Regions from separate parts of the Mus musculus genome. Here all the other regions are reported to be linked to region 1. The links are microRNA targets in miRTarBase. Many come from high-throughput screens and were not tested one by one. Region 1 holds a microRNA gene; each other region holds the end of a gene's coding sequence.

Region 1 (3,427 bases):
ATATTCATATACACACATGTACATGTACGCACACACAAACACACATGCACATACACAGGAGCCATCACATGAATGCCAGGCTGATCTCCAACTCATCATGCAACCAACATGAATTTACACTCTTGATCATCCTGAATCTGGCAAGGGTCTTTACCTTGTGAGTGAGAGCATTCATTGGCCCAGCACGGCATACTCTCTAAAACTCACATGTCACATGTCACATGTCACTCAAAATGATCTATGGGTGCCATTTCTGTGTGTGTGTATATCTGTGCATGCTTGTATATGTTTGTGTGGATGTATATGTATATTCATATACACACATGCACATGCACACAAAACTATACACACATGCAAATATATTGTGGGGAACCCCATAAAATCAGGCTGATCTCTACTCTCTTTTGAATTTATTTATGAATATGAATTCCTGACCCCTCTGAATATGGCAAGCTTTTACATAGTGAGAAAAACTTTCATTTGACCAGTACTACATAACCTTTAAAGCTCAAAATCACATATCATTCAAACATATCAATGAATTCCATTCCTTGTGTGTATGTGTGCATACGTGTGTCCATATACATGTATGTTTATGTTATATATATATATATATATATATATATATATATATATATATGTATATATATATATATATATATATATTCATTTACACAGATGTACACGCACACACATGTAAACACACATGCACATACATGGGTGGCATCACAGGAATACCAGGATAATCTCTAACTGAAGTTAATCATGAATTTGAAATCCTGATTCTCCAGACTTTGTCAATCATTTACAGCTGGTGACTGAGACCATTCACTGTCCCACTACTGCAGTCTCTAAAACTCTAAGTCACCTATCATTCAAATGGATCGATGAGTGCCATTCCTGTGTGTGTATCTGTGCTTGCTTGTATATGTTTGTGTGGATGTATATGTCTATTCATATACACACATGCACATGCACACAAAACTATACACACATGCACATACATTGGGGAGGATCCCATGAAGCCAGGCTGATCTGTACACCATTTTGAAGTTACTCATGAATTTGAACTCCTGATCCATCTGAATATGAAAAACATTTTACTGGTAAGTAAGAAGTTTCATTGGCCAAGTACTACATAATTGCTAAAGCTCTAAGTCACATATCTTTCAAACATATAAATGAATGCAATTTTTTCTCTGTGTGTGTGTGTGTGTGCTTGCATATACACATGTGTTTATGTTATGTATATTCATGTCAACACATGCACATGCACATACAAGTAAACACACATGCACATACATGGGTGGCATCACATGAATACCAGGATGATCTCTAACTGAATTAAGCATGAATTTGAAATCTTTATCCTCCTGACTTTGTCAATCTTTTACACCTGGTGGGTGAGACCATTCAATGTCCCCTATTGCATAATCTCTAAAACTCTACATGACTTATCATTCAAAGGGATTGGCGAATGCCATTCCTGTATCTGTGTATGTGTGCTTGCGTTTATACGTGTGTGTGTATGTTATGTATATTCAAATATAGACATGAACATGCACACACAACTATACACACATGCACATACATGGAGGAATCACATAAATCACAGGCTGATCTCTAAATTCTCATGAGGATAAGTATGAATTTGAACTCCTGATACTCTTAACTCTAGTAAGCATTTTCACTCTAAGTCACTTATCATTCAAATGGATTGATGAGTGCCATCCCTGTGTGTGTGTGTGCGTGCGTATCTATGTGTGCGTGTATGTATATGTATATTCATATACACACATGTACATGTACGCACACACAAACACACATGCACATACACAGGGGCCATCACATGAATGACAGGCTGATCTCTACCTCATCACGCAGTTAACATGAATTTGCACTCCTGATCACCCTGACTCTGGCAAGGGGCGTCACATGGTGAGTGTGACCTCTCCCTGGCCCAGTCATACAGAATCTCTAAGACTCTAAGACACATATCATTCAATAGAACAATGAGTATCCATTTTCTGTGTGTTTGTATGCATGTTTGTATGGGTATGTGTGTATGTATATGTATATTCATATACACATGTTCATGCACACATACATATACACACAAGCAAATAGATTGGGGGCATCACATGAATCCGAAGTTGATCCCAGACTCATCATGAAGTTGAGAATGAATTTTGACTGCTCATCCTCCTGACTCTGGCAAGCATTTTTACCTTTTGACTAAGAGCACTCACTGGCCCAGCACAGCATAATTTCTAAAACTCTAAGTCACCTGTCATTCAAAATGATTGATGGGTGTGTGTGTGTGTGTCTGTGTATCTGTGCTACTTCTATATGTTTGTATGGATGTATATGTATATGCATATGCACACATGCACATGCACATAAACTATACACACATAAACATACATTGGGGGGAACCCCGTGAAGTCAGGCTGATCTCTATGTCATTTTGAAATTACTCATGAATTTGGACCCCTGATCCATCTGAATATAACAAACATTTTTACTGGTAAGTAAGACGTTTCATTGGCCCAGTAATACATACTCTTAAAGCTCTAAGTCATATATCATTCAAACGTAACGACGAATGCAATTTCTTCTGTGTGTGTGTGCCTGCATATACACGTGTGTTTATGTTATGTATATTCATATCAACACATGCACATGCACATACAAGTAAGCACACATGCACATACATGGGTAGCATCACAGAAATACCAGGATGATCTCCAACTGAAATTAAGCATGGATTTGAACTCCTGATCCTCCTGACTCTGTGGTTTACACCTGGTGATTGAGACCATTCACTGTCCCACTACTGCATAATCTCTAAAACTCTAAGTCACCTATCATTCAGATGGATCGATGAGTGTCATTCCTGTGTCTCTGTGTGTGTGTGTGCTTGTGTTTATATGTATGTGCATGTTATGTCTATTCATATACACACATGCACATGTACACAAAACTATACACCCATGCACATACATGGGTGGCAATCACATGAATCACAGGCAGATATCTATATCCTCCTGAAGATAAGCATGAATTTGAACTCCTGATACTCCTGATTCTAGCAAGCATTTTTACCTAGAAAATGACAGCACTCACTGGCCCAGTACTGAATAATTTCTAATATTCTAGGTGGCATATCATATAAATGGATCTATGAATGTTATTCGTGTGTGTGTGTGTGTGTGTGTGTGTGTGTGTGTGTGTGTGTGTGTGCACGCTAGGGTTTATATGTCTATGTATATGTTATGTATATCCATATAGACACATGAACATACACACACAACTATACAAACCTGCATGTACACTTAAGGCATCACATGAATCACAGGCTTATCTCTAAATCATGCTGAAGATAAGCATAAATTTGAACTTCTGATACTCCTAACTATAGTAAGCA
Region 2 (3,698 bases), not on the chromosome of region 1:
GCGACAAGGGCCATGAAGGCGGAACACAGAATCAAGAGAGCAAGCTTCAGGTAGGAAGGTTAAACAAAGACTTTAAGGATGAGGAATCAGCAGAGGGAGAAAGTGGGGCTTACGTGCTGCAGTGCTGCTTTAGCGTGGGCGCCTTGACATGGCAGGAACCATTGGTACTGGACAGCAGGAAGTGAGAGTAGTTAGGCAGAGCAGGGTGAGCACAAAACACCACAATCAGCTGTAAAACCCAATGGGAAACCATCAAGTCTGATGGGCAGGCAAGAAGCCCTAGGCTGTCTAAGGCAAACATGCCTGCTAGTCACGTGGGCTCGCCTTCTGGAAGCTTCCTCCTGAGTTTCATAGACTTGAAAAGGGTACTTACTGTCTACTTGTAAGTTCCCATGCTGTACTAATATCCAATCACAGAAGGAAAAACCAGCCTGGTGGGTCAGTTGAACCAGGCAGGCAGAAGTTGAAAATGACATGTCTCTGATTCCCAATTTGAGAATTACGCAATCGTAAAGTATCAGAGCCACCTGTAGCCACTGCTCTCCTGCTAGTGCAATCTCTGAGGAGCAAAACCAGAAGAGCAGGTATGCATACGCCTGGCACTCAATAAACCCCAATACTCCGCCTCGAAATCTGAAGCCTATCTCTGCCTTACCCCTCTGCAGTCAGTCAAAATGGACTTACTCTCATGTGAAAAGCAGTGATTCCACACATTATCTGCGTTGCACAGATATTTAATTACCTAATTTAGGTGGCTAGTTTTCATTGAATTCTCAAAAGCTTTATGTAATGAAACTTCAACCCCTACCCAATGAAGAGGTATAGCTTTAAGAAGGGTTGCTGACACAATGACGACTTTGGGACCCTCCATTTATCTTTGAGGATCACCAGAGTCACGGCTGGCATCAACTGTTGCAGGTTTTCAATGCCAGGGCTCAATGGATGCCTTTACTTTTTTTCTGCCTTGTTTCCTCAGAAAATGATTAGAAACTCAAGTACAGATTCAGCTGGGGTGGTCTCATGCCTAATTCAAATTGAGCATCTGCTAAAGCTGGAGTATATACATTCAAGGTTTCAAGATTAGGGACTTAAAATTTAGAGCTATATCTAAGCCAATTATACATTAGCTTGCAACTGTCACTGCAATGACCTTGTGAAAATGTGGGTGCCTGGTCTCTCCCAAGAGACTGTAGTGTGGGTAATGCAAGCAAGCCATTCAACACCCTTACTTTTGAGAAACATTGCCCATAGCAAAGAACAGCAACAATCTCAGTGAAAGGCCAACACTTCAGAGTGTACTCCTGAAGTCATTATGTCAAGAGATCTACGATGATAATGTGAGGCCCCAATTTAGCCATAACTAAGCTTCTTTTCTTCTTTTTAAACTCAAAAGATTGAGATAAACTTCTACTTAATAATGACTGTAGCACTATCAAGGTAAAAGAGCACCAGGGATCTCAAAACTGAAATGGAAGTCTCCAGAAGGCCATGCAGAGATGGAATGTGTGCAGTGATACCAGAGTTGTAGCGTCAGAGGAATCTTGGCTTCAGTGCTTGGCTGCCTCTGTGCTTTGGATCCATTACCCAGTCTTTCCAGTTGACATTTCAGGAAAACTCCACAAGAAAGTTAATCAACATATACTGCCACAAGGCCTCAGTACTAACATTTTCTACTTTACAGTGATACACGTCAAAATTATTCACTTATTTTTGGATGCTGAAGACAAACATCTTTATTAAAGATACTACCAAAATTTTGGCAAACATTTCAAAACAGATTTGTAAACATAATGCTTCCCTTTTCAACTGGCAGCACTTTGAGACAATACAAGACAACCTGAATCAACTTTAGTTCAAAATCTTTATATTTTGACCACATAACTTATGTTCCCACATGATAAGACAAGTGATAGTTTAAATCAACGTTAACAGATAAACTCCATGAAATGAAAGTTTGTGCTATTTGATGAGTCACAGTATGTTATGGTTAAATATATCTACTCTTTTTATATTCCTGGGATCCAGGATGAAAAAAAATTTAAATATACATCTGATGTAGGTAATAGCTTCTTTGCATATCTTTCTTCAAAAAATACTTTATAGCAGTATATAAATAGGTTACCTACACATTTATTTTTGTCATTTTGCCCCAAAACTATAAGATCTGTTTCATTTTCATAACATATCATTTTTTGCCCAACATTAATAAAGCTGACAAACTGTTGAAATGGAAATGCTTTTGTCTTCCACAATAGAAGTAGCAATTTGACAGAAACAAACAAAAACCAAGCAAACACACACCAACAAGCTACTGCAACACTCGTCAGCTCTTTAACCTGAGTGTCCGGCCTACTGAGAGTAGCAGCTTTTTAACCTTCACACAGCTCACATCCACAGCAGCTCTGCAGACAGACAAGCAGAACACACAGGTTCTGATGCTGGTAGGCCACAGTGTGCTTCCCGGGCTGGGGCTGTTATCACTGGGAAGCAGTGTAGCTACTGGTTAACCACATGATGTACACAACTAGCAAACACCTTAAGGCAGCCATTGCAATGGGGGTTTAACTTTTAGGGCAGATTTAACACTCTAGAGCCAGACAGCCCGTATGTATGTATGTATGTATGTATGTATGTATGTATGTATGCATGTATGTATGTATGTATGTATGTATGTATGTATGTATGTATGTATGTGTATAGAAAACTATACACATTCACTTTCTATTTTTCAACCCTCCAAAAACAATGTTTTGATTTTTTGTACTTTGTGCAAATGTCTAAATATTCTACCATTTAAGGCAAAGAGTTTACATTAAGAAAGGTCAGAAAATAGGCTTTTGTTTATCCAAAAGCTTTTCACCTTGCACATTACTGTTTTGTCTTGTTTTAAACACACGCAATTCTTTGCATCTGTATGGACTTTGCATCCCCGATATCTAAAAAAAAAAAAAATCATCGCTAATGACAAAGACAAGTTATCAAGGAAAATTGATTTGAAGTATAGACACTGGATCCCCAATCTCTTAAAAATTGCTTCTATTAACAAACAAGTTGGGGGTTGGGGGTGGGTGGTTGGGGAGAGGACCAGAAAAAAAGCAGCTTCAAAATTCAGGGCAGCAAAGTAAAATAGAGAGGAAAAAAAGTAACTCAAGTTTACTAATACTGAAACTTCCAACAAGCAAAGTTTCATCTTTTAGAATCTAGAGCAACTCATCTGGAATTTTAAATAAATAAGCTTTAGTTTATTCACATCTTCTGGTCCAAGCAGAGCTTTAGTGCCATGACTCTGCTTGCTGTTGGTCAAATTCACCTATTAGTCTTTTGATGTGAGCCAGCTTGTTATGAAGATATTCACATCTGTATTTTTCTTCATGGTAATTGGGACTGGACTGTAGACAAAGAAAATAGTGAGGCATTAGGTCACAGAATTTACCCTGCTTCTCACTGTAGGCCAGAAAGGCAAAGGCGTGGTACTCACCTGCTTGATCTTCTGATATTCCTGTAAGACTTCTTCATGAACATTCTGTAAAGTTATAAATTACAATTAAGAAGAGTATGGTACTACATCTAACAAGAAGAGTTAGTACTATATCTAACAAGCACCTGGAAGGTGTAGGAAATACTGATGAGATATAACTTGAGACATTTGTCCCAATTTGGCAATTTGGCAGCAGCTATCAAAACAGCAAATGCAAACT
Region 3 (3,698 bases), not on the chromosome of region 1:
TAACACCTTCATTCACAACAGCAACCAAACTTGGTGGAATAATCAGACAGAGTATTATGCTCATCCTATGCACAGTATTGTGGCATTTAAGACTTACTCAGTTTATATAAAGCCTAAAAGGGTCCTGAGGTTGTGTCCACACAGCATCATGTAAACATGGTCACGGGGTTTTCTCACTAGTGGGTGAATATGCTTGCAGAAAGAATAGCTGGTTGAACTTAATGAATCAGCAACAGCTTCAGCAATTGTAAGTGAAGTCCCCTCCTCAGGGGTAGGGGGTGGGGCTTCACGTGTACTGTGGCTAGAATGGAGTCTACGTGATTAAGCTGTCTCACTACAAATAAAATGTAAACAAGTCTCAAGACTCCGACGTAAAAGAGATGACTGATATTCTGTTCCGTTTATGACAAACACTTGGATATCTAAAAACATCACAATGTGCATGAGCCTACAGTAAAAACATACAGTTTTAAGGGGTAAAATAATATTAATAATTATAAACATACAACTGAGTATATTTTTAGCGTTTCATCAGAGATAAAACCTAGACTAAGCAAACAGACATTTTTCCTATGATCAAAGCAGCCAGCATAAGGAAATGGAAACACTGGCAGTTAAGTTAAATGCTGTCTTTAGCAGATTTTCCTGGAAAAGCCTTGAAGACTGTGTGTCTATTTTTGACCATCCATTAATTACCAAGCTGGTCCTGGGTGCTCTCTGACTTCCTGGCATTCCAAATTAAGCCAGATTTTGGACAGGCCTGAGGAGGAGGGCTGTCCAAATACTTTATTGAAACACAAGAAAGTCTTTCACGAAACCACGCCAAGCCTTAGATTCAAAAGCACTTAAAATTATCCCTCCAACAGTCATACTATGTGATGGTTTATTTTTGGAGGTTCAGTGTTTGTTATTGAGGAAAAATAATCACAAAAATATGCTGTGAGCAATTAGGCAGTAAGGAGTGGCTCATATACATCATAGGGGCACATATATGTCATGGGGGCACATATATGTCATAGGGGCACATACATGTCATGGGGGCACATGTAAGTCATAGGGGCACATACATGTCATGGGGGCACATATATGTCATGGGGGCACATATATGTCATTGGCACATGTATATATATATATCATGGGGTGCATGTGTGTCATAGGGGCACATGTATATCATAGGGGTACATATATGTCATAGGGGCACATATATGTCAAAGGGGCACATATATGTCATGAGGACACATGTTTGTTATGGGGCACATACCTGTCATTGGGACACATATATGTCATGTATTCAGCACAAAGCATCCAGCACACTTAGTGGAGACTGGGGCAGTTTGAGAAATAGTATTGTTTTTTTTTTTCTGTTTTTCTTCCCATTGCTGACGTTTTTATTGTAAAATATTTTCATTATTTTTAATAAATCTGCATGTGTGTGTATGTGTACACACGAATGCAGTCAGTTCTCACAGAGGCTAGAAGTAGACCCCTCAAAAGCTGGAGTTACAAGTGGATATAAGACCTACTGAGTAGATTTTGGGATAAATCCTGATCCTCTGCAAGAGCAATACATGCTTTTAACCAAGCTCCCAAATCTCATTGATAAGAACTTTGAATAACACACCTTTAAAATTTGACCTTAACTTGCATACACTTATTATGAAAAATTACCAATGCATTCCATTCATTTCGTGAACCGTTTACAACCATGACACTGTTAAAAACAAAAAGCCCAAGGGATAAAAGAAGGAGAAATTACTAGAAAAACAGTTGTGGCTTTGTATAAAATAGAATGTGTTTATATACTTGTTATCAAACATAGTGGATAAATACCATACCAGAAATTCATAGATTTAAAAAAAAAATTGTCCCAACTGATTGTCTAATGGTTGCCTCCAATTTAGGAAGTTTCCTGAATAAACATCTTTGGGTTCCTGGGGATTCTAGCATAGCTTGGCTGATGCTTTGAACTCTAACACTACAGTTTTAGAGCGCTTCCGAAAATTGCCAAGTCACAATTATATTTAAAAGCAAGAGCTACTTTCAAAAGTTTGGAGTTATTTCCACCCAGAATGTACAGAGCTGTGGAAGAGACCGACTATTTCGTTCATGGGAAATGAAGCCACCATGATTCCCAGGAGGCATGAGACTGGCACCAACTGCCACCAACTTGTTCCTGAAACCAGGCTGGGGCCGCTGGTGGTATTTCCCAGGCTTCAGGCCGAACTCTGTTAGTGTTGCTGCTCCTGCAGAGGCTGCTGGCCCCTACCAGAAACCATGGTAACACTAAAGGGCCTCAAATTCCTTCATCACTGCATGCTAGTGCTCTTTGAAATTGATCCCATGATGCACCTTGACAACTTAGAAAAAGGTAATCAGGTATTCAGATGTCAACGGTCCCGTAAATTGCATTAGGTAGAAAGTGTGCCTTGCAGCTGTCTCACTCACTATGAAGTTGCTAGAACCCAAGTGGCTTGCTGTAAACTTTGTGCTACCCAAGTCCAAAGCCATCACGATGCTCTAAGAACACATGGAATGTCACCTTGGTCTAGGAAAAGGGCATTCCTGTAAAGGCCTGTGCAGCTACCTCAGCTATTTTTCTGCACCGAGGAAGCAGGGCAGTACTAGCTCCCAACTTCCAGCAAATTGATTTTAAAATCATTTTCCTCTCTTTTGTTCAGCGTTCACTGAATATACATTTTTTGTTTTAATGTCAGAGGGACATTGCAAAAAACCTCAGATGAGAGAGTGACGTAGTCCAGCCAGTCAAAAGCTGTAGTACTAGGCACCCAAGGAGAGCAAGGAATAGGGAAGGGGGTGGTAAATGTCTGCCTTAAATCTTTGAAGGGTGTGCTATGCCGTTCTGTCTACAGCTTTTCAAGCAGTTCCATAAAAACCAATCATTTAGAATGGTTCTCGGAGCGGTGTAATGTCCGCTACCAGAGCAGGAGGTTGTAGAGACAGCCATTCGACGTCAAAGTTCCTTCCACTCAGATGAAAAAAAAAATTATCTTGGCTTTGATACAAGATCATCTTTTTGTATTGTTTCCTTAAAAAACTGGTGTATGCAAACATGGGGGCGTAAGAAGGAACGAGTTAAGCCTCGCAGCTTCATGTTGGAAGCAATAACTAAGGTGTCGTCGGGTAAGACTCCTCGGAGGTGACAGGTGAGGTTCGCAAAGGCAGAGCCTCCGGGGAAGCATCCTCCCATTCACTGGGACCACTCTCAGAGGGCTGGTCTGGGCCACTGTGCTCCGGTTTGGGGCTTTCTGGATGATCTCGCATGAAGTCCCTCGTGGCCATAATCAAAGCCACAAGTCGGTAGAAGTGCAGAGCCATCACTAGGGAATTCTTCACGGCAAAGAACACCAACATGTGGTTGATCACTTTAAAGTAGATCATCAGGACGAGGCGCACAACCAGGAAGGGACCGTCTTGGATGAAGAAGCTGAGACCAATGGCCCATAGATCCGCACTGTACTGGCACAGGAAAACCCTAAGGAAGCCCCTGGCTTTCACTGAGGCGGGGCATACCAGTTTCAACTGGACTGGAGGAAAAATGAAAGAAACAACGGTTAACATTTGGAAATGCAAAGGGGAGAGAGGCATGGGACAGCCATTAGGGTGGTCTTGTTGTGAAAGAGGGAGAATGGCCCTCCAGGTTAATGTGGAGGAATAGGGGGCATTTCTTCACCTCAACT
Region 4 (3,698 bases), not on the chromosome of region 1:
CTGGCTGTCTTCTCAGATAAGATCCAGAACAAGATCGCATCAGCAAGGAACCCTAACAATGAATCTCATGACATGGAGTGTCGGAGGAACTCAGAGTAAAGTGACATCAGTGACGAAGAGAATCCAGAGGCCAGAGGGTCACTCGTGAGTTCACTAGCCTCAGCTAAATAGTGAGTGTGGGGGATGGGGGGGGGGAAGAGGCTGAGGTGACTTAACCCAAACTTGGCCAATTATAAGTCTCATCTGAGGCACTTGCTAGAAACATATAGACATCTCTTCCTTGGTGAGTTTGATCAGGTGAATCCTACCAATACTTAATAAATCAATGATATCAATAACTTGCAGTCACTGAATTAAGTTTCAGGTGCACACTATCAACTGGTGTTTTCTCTGCTAATAGTTGGCATGTAGTTTTGGGGTATTTGAGTTGGTCCCCTCAATGGAAATAGACTTGGAGTGTGTTCATAAAAGTGACAGGACACATATGTGACACTTGCAAATCATGAAGGCAGGCAGGCTAACTACTGCCTGGCAAGTATATTGATTTATAGCTGTTGACTGGTTAACACTCAATGAAACTGTCTGTGGAAGAAACATTACTCTCCATAACTGAGTAAACAAAAGGACTAATTTATTGTATAAGGTAAGCCAATACGTTCTCATGTACTATTGAGAGTAAACATACAGTGTACATAATAAACAGATTTAATATACTGAGAATAAATAGAATAAACATATCAGGGAATAATAAAGAGCAACCCATAGTTACAGCCACATGACTAGCAGTTAAAAAAAAAAGTCAATGGAGAAATTACTTTATTCACTTGGATCTATTCACTTGTTTTAGTGCCAAGGGCCCAAAGATGGGCAGGATATGGTCCTGATCATAGTACCAGATGCTTAGAAAGATCTTTCAATACCTAACCTAGATATTGACGAATCATGAGAAATAGCGGGGGTGGGAGGGTAACCTTTGAGGAAAGCGATCCTTACTCACATGCTGATTCCGTCATTTTACCATGAACTTTTTTGTTTTGTTTGCATTTATTGCTTTTTATAGTTAGAATAAATATGTGTGGTGTTGATTTGGTAAGATCAATATAAACTTTAGCTCTGAAAATAATTGAGATTATTTTCTTTTCTTATGGTTTTACCTACAGTAAAAGCACGTTTCTGTCATCGGAGGTAGCCCAAGCAACGCAATGCCAGCCGGACCGACTGAGATGTCGCCCCTGATTCCATTTGGTAGGTTTTGTTTTGCAGATTATCAGACATTTCCTCACCTCAAGTAAGTAAAAGGTTCAAGGAATCAAAAGTCACTTAGGGTGCACAGGGTGGTGAAGTGGCTACACTGAGGGGCTGCTTCTGTAGGTGGATGCTGTTGCTATGTGAGAAGGAGGGCTTGCTGGATGATAAACATCATGACATTCAGCTCCAACAGAACCTTTCACGCCTGCAGTATTTTAGTAGATTGGTCAGATTTTTATGAAGTACTTTGAGGTTGAACTTATTGGTAATGGCTGTGATCGACTGGCTTTCTGCAAATAATACTATTACTTTCTTCTAACGAAGTTTTAGATACAGAAGAAAATGTAGCTATTTAAACTAAGTAATCTGGACCATTTTTGTCCATATTTATGAACATTTTTCTTACATTACATTCTATAGCCATGAAGGCAGCTTGATATATCCTGATGCACAAGAACTGTATGTAGGTCGTGAAACAGAATAAACAACACGTTAAAATGAGTACAGGAACCACGGGGAAGGAACATGTATTTTCTGTGAAGACCCTTATATGAAATTCAGCAGCGCTCATGTCCACTGGGTAAATGTTACAGAAACTGTGGATGGTGGAACACCAGGGGAGGCAACTTCAGTCAGCTTTGCTTTATTAATTGGCATTTGAATGAAATATGACACTAATATCATACAGACTTCTGGTACGCTCTTCATAATTAGAACAGGACAAATGGTCGAATGCATGATCTCAATGCCTATCACTGAAATTTGCCCAAGTAAAAATAAACCCTTGCTACCTATGTAACTGCAGAGCATGAGATTCTTCTATCTTCCCACAGAGATGCATGGCTGGGAATACCTGGTACCTCTGAGGAATGTGCACATGCCAAGATTAGCATAAAGCCAAGCTATGCTGTGAAAATGTGTGTGTGTGTGTGTGTGTGTGTGTGTGTATGTGTAACAGATAAGGCCATTGATCCATTTTCTTTTGGGTCCTAAATAATATAGCATTTCAGAGTTCAGAGTCATTGCCTGGCTGATAAAGAATTAAACTCTAGAAAACCTAGGTTGCCTATCACTGAAGGACTGAAGCTAACTTGAACTTTCTCTTTGTTGAACAGAGGAAAATGGATACAAGTATAATGTTTTCAAATATACAACCCCTTTTGGTGATCTTTTCTTTTGTGAAGGGTTAGCTTTATAGAGGTACCAAAAATGTGATAGCTTCTTGATGACAGGAAATTATTTAAAAGGGAAAAGTTAAAACCAATATTAATAATGTTAAATGCATAGAAAATATTCTCCTACAGTAGATCATGAATGTGAGTATTTTGTTAGAAAATGAATTTTCTTTTACCCTGCTACATGGGCACATCAACAGCAAGGTCATGCTAGTCTTCCAAATAAGAGTGTGGTAACAGCTGGGTGGTGGTGGCGCACGCCTTTAATCCCAGCACTTGGGAGGCAGAGGCAGGTGGATTTTTGAGTTTGAGGCCAGCCTGGTCTACAGAGTGAGTTCCAGGACAGCCAGGGCTATACAGAGAAACCCTGTCTCAAAAAAAAAAATGATAGTACTAAGAGTGTGGTAACACAGATTACTCATTTTAGCTCCCATGCTTGACACTTCTCTCCAATGGCTTTACCTCTTAAGGCTGCTAGCATGATTTAATGTAGCCTACTTTTCGAGTGTGGACAGATCGTAGTAAATGAACCTATAACACACGTATCTCAGAAACTGTTAAACCAAAACAGGAAATAGAAATCTCAACTCTCCACACAGAAATCCGTCAAAGTTGGCAAAGGTGAAGACCGCTCAGGTGGGCCGACGGTAGGCATTGAAGTACTTGTGCTGTTGAGAGACAATCCTGTCACATGTCTGCACGGACAAACGAGGCAAACACTCCATCTTCCTGGGCCAAGAGGCTTTCCGGGGTGTCGTATTCCAAAATATTTCCTCTCTTCATCACAATAACCAGGTCTGCAGTCAGAATGGTGTGAACCCGATGCTGCGTGAACGTGAGAAACATCGACATTTGCTATGAATTTGAGCACAAGAGCCAAGACGGTGAATATGAATATCTCACAGACTGGTCATGCATGGTTGCTTCTTTTTACTTTGGGTGTACCAAGAAATACCCTTTCCTTGTATGAATTAATTAATTCATTTATATGCTTTTAAATGCCAGCCAGCATGGTGGGGTTTTGTTTGCTCTGTCTTAACTTCAGTGCAGCCATTACTCACTGTTGCACTGAAACTTGACAACTGTACACAGTAATAAATGTGCCTCAGTGAAATGCCAAAGGGAGCCCATATGAACCAGCTCGGTTCTATTTTATTCTTGATTATAGTTAGTTCATGTGTGAGCCCACTAAATACCTGGATTAACAAATAATAAAAAGGACCCTGAGAGACTCTGGTCTGGAAATCTGGAGAAGTCTATTCTGGCATTCAACAT
Region 5 (3,698 bases), not on the chromosome of region 1:
CCAGGGTAACAAGAATGCAGAGGAGGAGGAGGGCGAGGAAGAGGAAGAGGAAGAAAGGGGACAAAAAACGGATATAATAATTTAAACACCAAAATATTCAGAGTTGTCTCTGAGGATAAAATCACACGTGGTTTCCAGAACAATTTTACAGAATTTTCCTAATGCTTGTTACTGAATATGATTTATGTTCACAAGAGAAGAAATGAATTTTACATAAGTATTTTATGAAGTATGAAGTTAGTTCTTAAAAAATAATTTTTAAAGTTTTAAAATTAATTAATTAATTAATTGATTAATTTTGATTTACAGAAATGCCCTTCCTGTGATTCGTATGAGAAAAGGACACCCAAAGAATTCCTAGAAAGACTAAAATGGCTCCTTCAAAAGGTATGCACCTTAAATGCATTTCTTTCACTTCCATGTTGTGTCCGGGTACCTCCTGTGCCCAGTGACTCATAGGCTCTCGTTCCCACAGATGATTCATCAGCATCTCTCCTAGAACACATAGGACCCGAAGATTCCTGAGGATCCGAGAAGATTCCCGAGGACTGAGGAGACGCCGGACACTATAGACGCTCACGAATGCAGGAGTACATCTTGCCTCTTGGGATTGCAAGTGGAGAAGTACGATACGTTATGATAAGAACAACTCAGAAAAGCTATAGGTTAAGATCCTTTCGCCCATTAACTAAGCAGACATTGTGGTTCCCTGCACAGACTCCATGCTGTCAACATGGAAAATCTCAACTCAACAAGAGCCCAGCTTCCCGTGTCAGGGATTTCTGGTGCTTCTCAAGCTGTGGCTTCATCTTATTGCCCAACTGTGACATTCTTTGATTGGAAGGGGAAAACTAAAGCTTTTAGCAAAAATACAGCTAGGGAATTTGTCGATCTGCGAGAGTAAGACCTCTTATGATCCTAACGGAATGATGTAAGCTGGAAATAATAAGCATAAGATGAAATTGAAAATTGAAGTCTTTATTCTTTAAGAAAAACTTTGTACTTGAAAGCATGTCTGAAGAGTTTACTCATTACCACAAACATCTAGCATATTGATAACTAACATCTTTATACTCTACAAGAGAGGCTTTCCAGATAGGTACAGTTTTTCTTCTCTATTAGGTCTATCAAAATTTAACCTATTATGAGGGTCACCCCTGGCTTTCACTGTTTTTCTAAAGAGGCAAGGGTGTAGTAAGAAGCAGGCTTAAGTTGCCTTCCTCCCAATGTCAAGTTCCTTTATAAGCTAATAGTTTAATCTTGTGAAGATGGCAATGAAAGCCTGTGGAAGTGCAAACCTCACTATCTTCTGGAGCCAAGTAGAATTTTCAAGTTTGTAGCTCTCACCTCAAGTGGTTATGGGTGTCCTGTGATGAATCTGCTAGCTCCAGCCTCAGTCTCCTCTCCCACATCCTTTCCTTTCTTTCCTCTTTGAAACTTCTAAGAAAAAGCAATCCAAACAAGTTCAGCACTTAAGACACATTGCATGCACACTTTTGATAAGTTAAATCCAACCATCTATTTAAAATCAAAATCAGGAGATGAGCCAAGAGACCAGAGGTTCTGTTCCAGTTTTAAACAGACTTTTACTGAACATCCCAATCTTTTAACCACAGAGGCTAAATTGAGCAAATAGTTTTGCCATTTGATATAATTTCCAACAGTATGTTTCAATGTCAAGTTAAAAAGTCTACAAAGCTATTTTCCCTGGAGTGGTATCATCGCTTTGAGAATTTCTTATGGTTAAAATGGATCTGAGATCCAAGCATGGCCTGGGGGATGGTTTTGATCTAAGGAAAAAGGTGTCTGTACCTCACAGTGCCTTTAAAACAAGCAGAGATCCCGTGTACCGCCCTAAGATAGCACAGACTAGTGTTAACTGATTCCCAGAAAAGTGTCACAATCAGAACCAACGCATTCTCTTAAACTTTAAAAATATGTATTGCAAAGAACTTGTGTAACTGTAAATGTGTGACTGTTGATGACATTATACACACATAGCCCACGTAAGTGTCCAATGGTGCTAGCATTGGTTGCTGAGTTTGCTGCTCGAAAGCTGAAGCAGAGATGCAGTCCTTCACAAAGCAATGATGGACAGAGAGGGGAGTCTCCATGTTTTATTCTTTTGTTGTTTCTGGCTGTGTAACTGTTGACTTCTTGACATTGTGATTTTTATATTTAAGACAATGTATTTATTTTGGTGTGTTTATTGTTCTAGCCTTTTAAATCACTGACAATTTCTAATCAAGAAGTACAAATAATTCAATGCAGCACAGGCTAAGAGCTTGTATCGTTTGGAAAAGCCAGTGAAGGCTTCTCCACTAGCCATGGGAAAGCTACGCTTTAGAGTAAACTAGACAAAATTGCACAGCAGTCTTGAACCTCTCTGTGCTCAAGACTCAGCCAGTCCTTTGACATTATTGTTCACTGTGGGTGGGAACACATTGGACCTGACACACTGTTGTGTGTCCATGAAGGTTGCCACTGGTGTAAGCTTTTTTTGGTTTTCATTCTCTTATCTGTAGAACAAGAATGTGGGGCTTTCCTAAGTCTATTCTGTATTTTATTCTGAACTTCGTATGTCTGAGTTTTAATGTTTTGAGTACTCTTACAGGAACACCTGACCACACTTTTGAGTTAAATTTTATCCCAAGTGTGATATTTAGTTGTTCAAAAAGGGAAGGGATATACATACATACATACATACATACATACATATATATATATATATATACATATATATATATATATATATGTATATATATATATATATAGAGAGAGAGAGAGAGAGAGAGAGAGAAAGAGAGAGAGGTTGTTGTAGGTCATAGGAGTTCAGAGGAAATCAGTTATGGCCGTTAATACTGTAGCTGAAAGTGTTTTCTTTGTGAATAAATTCATAGCATTATTGATCTATGTTATTGCTCTGTTTTATTTACAGTCACACCTGAGAATTTAGTTTTAATATGAATGATGTACTTTATAACTTAATGATTATTTATTATGTATTTGGTTTTGAATGTTTGTGTTCATGGCTTCTTATTTAAGACCTGATCATATTAAATGCTACCCAGTCAGAACAACTGTCTGTTGTGATTCTCTGAATGTCCTTAATGCAACCAACCTGGTAGAAAAGGTGGGTGCATAGGTTTTATATGGCTACAGCACAGATGTTTACTTCTTATTGACTGCCACTAAGATAGAAGTATCCCGTGTTCTTGCTCAAAGACCCCACTCTCTTTGCAGACCACCCTCTGAATGCCTGGCAGGCTTGAAGTGGTTGAAACTTGCTTGTCTCACAAGTGTGTCCCATGTAGACTGCAGTTCTGGGTTCATGTCGCTCTCATCTGGCCATCTGTCTCTTATTCTCAATGTTTCTTGTCTGCGTCTGTGGGTTACCAGGCTGTGCTCATCAAGGACTTAGGTATGTTCCTTGCCAATCTCTGCTCCCCTCTCAGGTGACCTCAGTGGGGAGGATTCTCAGTGGGAAACTCCCAGAACCTTGACCATCTCCATGTGAGCACTTGTGTACTTTACCCACTGCCACTCTCATGGTCACAGCCCAGACTCTCACGCATGGAAACCTGTCACCTAGCTAGACCATCATATTCCTACTGCCTCTGTACCAGAAGCCGGGCCTCCACACTTCCAGACCCCTCGGCACTCACCTGCTCTGGAGGCCTGGCCACTGAGTCCCTGGA

Evidence for each region. The annotated mature microRNA mmu-miR-297b-5p reads AUGUAUGUGUGCAUGAACAUGU and lies in region 1 at 2,088-2,109, opposite strand. An mRNA with a match to its seed (bases 2 to 7 or 8) in the 3' UTR can be bound and repressed. Matches are read on the target gene's strand: a 7mer-m8 pairs with bases 2 to 8, a 7mer-A1 pairs with bases 2 to 7 and ends in A, and an 8mer does both.
Region 2: miRTarBase lists Ell2 as a target of mmu-miR-297b-5p. Seed matches in the 3' UTR shown: 7mer-m8 at 2,688-2,694, 7mer-m8 at 2,684-2,690, 7mer-m8 at 2,680-2,686, 7mer-m8 at 2,676-2,682, 7mer-m8 at 2,672-2,678, 7mer-m8 at 2,668-2,674 and 13 more.
Region 3: the mRNA of Tmem26 is a reported target of mmu-miR-297b-5p. Seed matches in the 3' UTR shown: 7mer-m8 at 1,434-1,440.
Region 4: the mRNA of Abcc9 is a reported target of mmu-miR-297b-5p. Seed matches in the 3' UTR shown: 7mer-m8 at 2,193-2,199 and 7mer-m8 at 1,707-1,713.
Region 5: miRTarBase lists Il21 as a target of mmu-miR-297b-5p. Seed matches in the 3' UTR shown: 7mer-m8 at 2,690-2,696, 7mer-m8 at 2,694-2,700, 7mer-m8 at 2,698-2,704, 7mer-m8 at 2,702-2,708, 7mer-m8 at 2,706-2,712 and 7mer-m8 at 2,710-2,716.

The regions. Positions count from the first base shown.
Region 1 is chr2:10,510,368-10,513,794 of GRCm38, reverse strand. Mir297b (microRNA 297b) reads right to left here and starts at 2,128; the gene lies at 2,020-2,128. The region is part of intron 10 of Sfmbt2 (Scm-like with four mbt domains 2); the gene reads right to left. It overlaps Mir466d (microRNA 466d), which reads right to left and starts at 1,828; the gene lies at 1,733-1,828. It overlaps Mir669m-1 (microRNA 669m-1), which reads right to left and starts at 1,005; the gene lies at 908-1,005. It also overlaps Mir669m-2 and Mir466n.
Region 2 is chr13:75,770,371-75,774,068 of GRCm38, reverse strand. It overlaps Ell2 (elongation factor for RNA polymerase II 2), which reads right to left. Exons shown (of 12, transcript NM_138953.2): 11 at 3,479-3,523; 12 at 1,708-3,389. The coding sequence ends at 3,273. Among named protein-coding and RNA genes, the nearest start is that of Ell2, 65 kb to the right of the region's middle.
Region 3 is chr10:68,778,286-68,781,983 of GRCm38, reverse strand. Tmem26 (transmembrane protein 26) reads right to left here. Exons shown (of 6, transcript NM_177794.3): 6 at 1-3,545. The coding sequence ends at 3,127. Among named protein-coding and RNA genes, the nearest start is that of Gm32931, 43 kb to the left of the region's middle.
Region 4 is chr6:142,587,256-142,590,953 of GRCm38, forward strand. Abcc9 (ATP-binding cassette, sub-family C (CFTR/MRP), member 9) reads right to left here. Exons shown (of 40, transcript NM_011511.2): 40 at 607-3,248. The coding sequence ends at 3,111. Among named protein-coding and RNA genes, the nearest start is that of Kcnj8, 17 kb to the left of the region's middle.
Region 5 is chr3:37,222,138-37,225,835 of GRCm38, reverse strand. Il21 (interleukin 21) reads left to right here. Exons shown (of 5, transcript NM_021782.3): 4 at 310-387; 5 at 476-3,077. The coding sequence ends at 499. It overlaps Gm36168 (a long non-coding RNA gene), which reads right to left and starts at 1,439. Exons shown (of 4, transcript XR_389693.2): 1 at 1,348-1,439; 2 at 396-603.